2 linked regions of the Kluyveromyces lactis genome follow. The protein of the gene in region 1 purifies or fractionates together with the protein of each later gene. This does not show direct contact. Links are inferred from orthologs where the notes say so. Each region holds a gene or a part of one and is shown on either strand. Other genes may lie near its edges.

Evidence for each region.
Region 2: the proteins of SSM4 (region 1) and CUE1 purify together in Saccharomyces cerevisiae (affinity purification with western blotting; 5 studies listed by BioGRID, with this or other methods). This does not show direct contact. The link is inferred for Kluyveromyces lactis from reciprocal best matches to the Saccharomyces cerevisiae genes SSM4 and CUE1.

The regions. Positions count from the first base shown.
Region 1 is NC_006042.1:2,566,138-2,570,555, reverse strand, and holds SSM4 (E3 ubiquitin-protein ligase SSM4), read left to right. Parts: upstream 1-1,494; coding exon 1,495-4,266; downstream 4,267-4,418. Other genes in the region: KLLA0_F27709g (uncharacterized protein), read left to right, coding at 111-986; SUMO protease ULP2, read right to left, coding at 4,400-4,418. UniProt on the Saccharomyces cerevisiae protein: E3 ubiquitin-protein ligase which accepts ubiquitin specifically from endoplasmic reticulum-associated UBC6 and UBC7 E2 ligases, and transfers it to substrates promoting their degradation.
Region 2 is NC_006041.1:984,783-987,443, reverse strand, and holds CUE1 (Cue1p), read left to right. Parts: upstream 1-1,265; coding exon 1,266-1,922; downstream 1,923-2,661. Other genes in the region: KLLA0_E11243g (putative endodeoxyribonuclease), read left to right, coding at 1-93; SAP30 (Sap30p), read left to right, coding at 321-821; CAC2 (Cac2p), read right to left, coding at 2,294-2,661. UniProt on the Saccharomyces cerevisiae protein: Component of the endoplasmic reticulum-associated protein degradation (ERAD) pathway.

The sequences.
Region 1 (4,418 bases):
AGGTTTGATTTTTCACAGTTGAAACCATAGTACGACCTCTTAGACACAAGATTTTTTTATCCAAGTTTCAAATTTGAACTTCGCAGTACCGGTTTACTAATTGATAAAAAATGTCATCCAGTATGAATGGTGGAGACCACAACTACGAAGATAAGCATGCGGGGAATTTTCCAACTTGCCGTATTTGTATGCTGGAAGGAACGTCCGATAATCCGTTGTTCCATCCATGCAAGTGCAAAGGCTCCATCAAATATATTCATCAATTATGTTTGATCGAATGGCTACAGTCAAAACATGTCGATGTTACAAAACCTGGTGCAGGGATGGTATGTTCGATTTGTAATCATCCAATCGCGTTCCAAACTTTGTATGATGAATCAATGCCAGAGAAGATCCCACTTCTACTTCTTCTGAAACATAGCGTTTTCAAAATCTTTGGCAAATTAAATCACTATTTCAAATTCACATTGATTGCGTTCCTTTTCTTCATTGGAATTCCCCTGTCCTGGAATATCTGGGGGAAGCTATATACGGCTACTGTGGATGATTTTTCATTTCCTTCAAATAACAAATGGTATATCAATTTGATTTATGGCTTTGAAAGAAACATACCAAAAAATCCAACAACTACGGATATTTTATATCAACTAGTGATAAATTACAGATTTTCGTTGTTACAAATTCTGATGGTTTTGATCGTGCATGCTATCGCATATTTACAATATGATATGGTAGTCAGAGAGCCAATTTTCAATAAGATGATCTTGCATAAGATTGGACCAAGATTTTCAAAACAAGAGCTGGCCATGCAGTCATTAAGAGAAAGATTTCCAAATATGGATCCAAATGATATAAGCATGCTCATAAATGCCCTCAATAGACAACGACAAGACGATCCAAATGAAGATGATACTTCAGAAGACGAACAAGAACAGAACAATTTCATCGTAAACGAAAATAATGATGAGCCTCAGCTTGCCAACTAACTATAATCCCCCATTTAAATATTTACGATATTGATAATCTTCATATTGAAACATTGCATCAGCCTTCACTCCAGTTCGAAATAAACTTCTATATACAATATAATTCCCTCGTTGTCCCATCAAATCATTCACTTGCTTTAGTAAAACATGCTAGCCCATTAGATTCTCAAAGATGAATTTGGTATTACCCGGCTTATAATGGAAATTGAAATTTGAAGAAGGAAATTTCAACATGGGCGCAGACAATCAGTATATACATCGTCGACTGATCTCGTTTCACAACTAAGTACAACAGGTTAACAATATTTAATCTTTGCTACAATTGTATAGCTGTTGAAGTTGAATAATTATATCATAGAAACTGAATCTTCAACTTGAGTTTTCCGCATTAGATCCCTGCATTACTCTTTTCTTCTGATCACAATATCATATTTCTTCTGCAACATATTCATATCATTACCAATTAGCTGAGTTATTAATCGACTGTACTTTTAATTCACAATCCATTATGGAAAGACACTTTGCACAAAGAGAACTCGATGGGCGGTTGGATGCTCAACTCGGACGACCTCAGCCTGTTGAAGGAGAAGTACAAGAAGATGGAATAAATGCTCAACCAGCGGTTGTACTAGAGAATGAAGATGGTCAACCTACGGCTATCTTGAATTTAAATCTTGATTACAAATATTTACCGAGCTACTTTTCCTTAGTCTTTTCTGTCATTGGTGGATATCTTTTCATTTCATACGCTTTAGCCACACTTGTCGGATATCTGTTGAATTTCATTTATTTTAGAGTTGTGATTATAATGCTGAATGGAGTAATAGTGTCAGCAGAGAGGTTAAATATCCCAGAATACAATCAAAAGCTTATAGAAACTTTTTCTTTGGTATCCTACGTTGAAAATTGGATTAATGGGACAGTTTTAATGCCAATAGTATCGTACTATCAGGGATACATGAAAGGCACAGCAAAACATACGATGCTGGTACGAATGTTGGCGCCAGCCAGTACATATGCGACTTTCATAGTTCTTTGTTGCTGTATACCAGAACTGTTATCTAGAGGGCATTCCAAGAAGCTACCTCTAAAGAATTCTTTGAAAAGAACGATTTTCAAGTTTTCCTATATCATCAAGTGCACATTGAAAGTGCTAGGGTTGTTTACACTTGAACTTGCCGGATTTCCGATTTTAGCGGGGTTTTTGATTGATGTGTCACTGATCTCACCGCTATTATTACCACAGAGCAGCTTGACTTTCGTACCGAGTTTTTGTTCCTTTTGGCCGCCTATGACATTTATTATTTATTGGGCGATTGGTACTGTTTATATGTATCATTTTGCTCAATATGTCGGCATGGTAAGACAATATATTATCAGACCGGGTGTTCTTTTCTTCATAAGATCACCAGATGATCCTAATATTAAGCTATTACAGGATTCTTTGATATACCCAATGAAACTTCAACTCTCCAGACTTGCATTGTCGATGGCAATCTATACAGCATTCATTTTAGTAGGTTTTGGATTTCATACGAGACTTTTGTTTCCTTACATTTTACATTCGGAACTTTTACCTATGAAGCATGGATTGTCAACTCTCATAAAACCAAATTCTATGTTTTCTATTGCAGTCATTGCTGGAACGTATCTCATTCTCTCGAAGAATAGAGTTATTGATGCTTATGTTAGACAATATTGGGTCTTTGTATTCAATATATGCTGCAGAAAACTAAGACTTTCCTCTTTCATCTTAGGAAAAGATTCACCAACTGAGAGAGGACATGTTATTTATAGGAACTTTTACTATAAATGGTTCGTCCCAAACAAGGCAAAACTGTCCAACCTAGAATTATACTCTCATCCAAAATCGCTCGATGAAACCTATACTCTTTTCAAAACTATTCCTGATGTTCACGCATATTTTGTCCCCGATGGCACCATGATGCGCGTACCTGCGAGCGACATAATATCAAAAAAATATGCACAATTGTTGTTCGTCCCAGTTACTAAGGATGACAAACTTCTAAAGCCATTGGATATCGAAAAAATCAAAGAAAGACAGAAACGAAATGCCGGAGAATTTGGCTACCTAGAAAAACAGCCCACGGAATTTGATGAATATAAGGTAGTTTATGTCCCTCCGCATTTTACTTTCACTTATTCGCTGTTAATTGTCTTCATATGGATCTTTGCTTCCCTTTTGTTTACTGCTGTGTTATTAATCTCAAATTTTGCTGGGCTTCCCATTATCACTGGATTGCAATTATTGTTGAATGCGGTTATCCCCCCAGCAATGAAATTTCAAAATGAACTCTATGAAAGTGTAAAACCATTAAATCTTCTTTCCGTTTCTTCTGGTATGATACTTTTGTCTCTCGCTTTGTCATCCTACCACGCACATCTATTAAATAATATCCATCTAAATGACAGAATATTGGAGGTTAATGCCGAACACAATGGGGATGTTCCAAATAACGGTCCAAACGACGATAATCATCAGCATATAGTTCACAATGATGATAATATTCCCGAAAATGATGAAAATCCAGTAGCCAATGAATTTAGAGTACCGGAAATTGCTGAAGGTGATGTTTGGAACTTGATCAAAGGCTTTGTAACAATGGTGTATCCAGTCTTTACATTCTACTTTATGCCAATCATTTTCAAGTTGAATATCAATTATCATTCGGTCTTCATATTCACCTACTTCAAAGATTTCTACTGGAAAGGCGACGTTCTCGAAAACACAAGCCCTGATATATCGTTTGTTCCATTCCTTTCGAACCTCGCATCAAAATCAGAATACAGCGGCTATTCAGCTTACTCATTAATAGCTGCTCTATTGTTTTGTCAAGTAGCAGCAGTGGCGTACATCGCGGTACAGTGCAGTTTGAAGCGGAATAAAACATTAGGATTCAGAAGATTACTCATTAGGGTCACGGATATATGCTTTGTGTACCTCGTTGCAATGATTGCGGTACCTTTTGCTCTGCAATATAGTTTTTCTATGTTTGAATTCCTTACCCACAAACAAGTTTACACCTCTTCATGGGCACCATTTGTTTATTTCATTTTCATACAGCCTTCTGTCTCGGCAGATCATTCCCTTATGACTACATTTCAAAAGGCATTCTACTACGTTGATGTAGTGACGATTTCCTCGGCGTTCCTAACTGTGAGCTCAATTTTATCCAAGTCGCTTTACAATTCTTTATCTCAAAGTGTGAGAGACGAAGTGTATGCAAGAGGAAGGATACTAAAAAACTTTGAAGAATAGTTTGATCAGTCAAGATGTCTTTATAGATTTATTAGCGAAATTTTTTTATTCAATGAATTATTTTATCTAGTCTTACCATTAAAATTTATTACTTACGACTGGGAAGTAAAATGATGGAAAACAGGATATGTAGCTATTTAGATGCAAATTGA
Region 2 (2,661 bases), on another chromosome or scaffold:
GTTCTTGACGCCATTTCAAGAGCTCACGGCATTTCCAGGACTAAGGCGATGGACACGGTATTACAAAACTTCAATAGATTCTTACGTAAATGAGATGAGACGCAGGGACTGCATGTATGTTCTTTGTTTAATGTAGTCATCCTCTATATCTAATTCCAAGTTATTCCCACTTATCTAAGAAAAAAAAGTGTCTTAAGTACAAAATTTTGATCTTTTTGAACATTTGTCCAGGTGGTAAAGGGCATTACCATGTACTGCTCCATACCATCTCAGGTGTCAAATAGAGTGGGTGCTGTACAGTCACAAGGATCTTACACGACATGGCACCAAGGGGACACAATAACTCAAATTCAGAGTCCGAATCTAAGGGCAAATCATCGAACAATGCAACTTCAGGTGCATCGACCAGGACCAGTGTGAAACAAAGACTCTCGAGTGCTCAACAGCAATACTTGAAGGACTTGAACAAGAAACATATACATAACAATCATCCGAAGAATGAGCCGCTCCCAAATCCGATGGATTTCGAACAATACTCCGATGAATTTTTAAGGCGGTATAAGGATAGGTTCCAATTGAAATCTCCAGATAATCTATCAATACAAGGGTACCTTCTAGGATCAAGGATTGGGAAACATACTTACTCGGCGAAACGAAACCAGAAAAATGTACCAGATGCAAGGGTTACGAAGCAGGAGCTTGCGAAAGGTGTCAGGGAACACTTCGATAACTATACCGTTCGAGAAGCGGAATGCCTTCCTCAGTTTATTTACAAAGTACAAAATCAGAAAAAGAAGTTCAGAATGGAGTTTAAGGGATGAAGCGGTGGTGTTGCATAGCTCACTTCCATCTTGGGCATGTAATTCGACATCAGCCTAATGGCTTCATCTATTTGTAACATATATGAATAATATAGAACGTAATAATCAAGGATATCAACGGAAATCTATTTGGAACTAGCGTTCTATACGCTGATTATATGCACTGCAGTGAAAAGGACAGATTGCACAGCAAGCTGTACACACGTCCTTCTGCTCTTTAACATTTTTTTCCTTTACAGGTCGTTTACACAATTTTTCTCTTTAATAAGAAATGAATGATATTAATTATCATTCACAAGTAAAAACTGTAACAAGACAAGTATTTGCTCCATAACCAGGCATACTGTGTTTTCCTGTCTCCAGAATAATTAATATCACAGCAATATATTGAGAGCAGACAGAAATTATTGTGTTAGATAGAGTATCTGAATTAAAACTTTAATCATGGCGGATCAAAGTTTCACATTATTTATCATTTTGGCTATTGCCGGTTATATTGCTGTGAAATGGTTTTTGAGCAATAACGAACAACATCCATCCATCCAAATCAATGGTTTTTCTTCGCAATCAGACTCTGCCACGGCTTCAGGTACCGCCGCGTCAAGTAATGCCGCTTCAAGACAGACTAGAAGGCGTATTCGTCGTAGAGTCAACGATGATATGATCGAAGTGGTACAATCCTTGGCTCCACATCTACATCCAGAACAGATCAGATACGACTTGGAACAAACCGGATCAGTTGAAACTACTGTAGAAAGATATCTCTCGGGTAGAGATATGCCATTCCCACCAGATTACGTCCCAGAATCTGAAACAGGTGGCAATTCTTCCAATGGTCAAAATCAATCGACCGGAAGCTCTGTAACTACAGGAAACAATACAAACAACAATAGCACATCTACAGATCCACGGAAAAGATCCAACATTAAAGCTGACAATCTGCTAAAAAAATTCAACGTGGATCCACAAGAAGATCTTTCAAACTTGAATCCCAACGATCTTTCCATAGAAGAAAGAAAGAGATTAATGGTATGGCAGGCAAGAAAGAGTATGGAACTAAAGGTGGAAAACAGTGAATACCTACAGTCTCTACTGAAATGATAGGTACAATTGTGTAGATATCTATAAATCGTACATATACCAGTAAATGAAATCCATTCTCAATTACATGCTAGAGTGTGTCCTTTACAGCTAGATGTCTTTCCAGAGAGAAATGTTGATCACGTGACTAACCATTTTTTTGCATTTCCTATTTTGTTTCTATATTGTTTCCCAGACCTTTCTGTTTCTACCTCCTAGAACTGCCAACACCCTGATTCTTGTCACGGGCTTGGCAATAAGGCAATCGGCTGGTGTCTCGAATCTTAACTCGGCGATTATTACTTACTACTATACACAGTAATTATTGCGTAGAGAACAGTTCAAAGTCACGTGTTATTCCGCCATCTCCCTCTCTATAAACTAATCTAGTTCTATTTAGGTTGATCTGATGTGACGAGAGTAGGTTGAACCCTGCGTTTGAGCTTCTCCTTTCCAACTGTGGTTGCAGCTTCTGAGACAAGCTGCGAGATCGATCTTTTAGCTGGTGAAGGGTTTGGAGTTTCGGCGGCACCGGTACTAAGATTTACGATACTAGCCTTTTGTGATGATTCTGGTTGTGATTGTGATTGCGATTGTGATTCGAGTTCCTTCGTCAAGATTGGTATAGATTGATCTTTCAAAGGTGTGCCAAAATCATTGTCTGTGAAGTGAATATATGAGCAGAACCCGTCTGTGCTTGATATCATTAGTAATGTTCCGTCTTGGCTCCACGCAAGATCTGTTATGGGGGTATAATGCA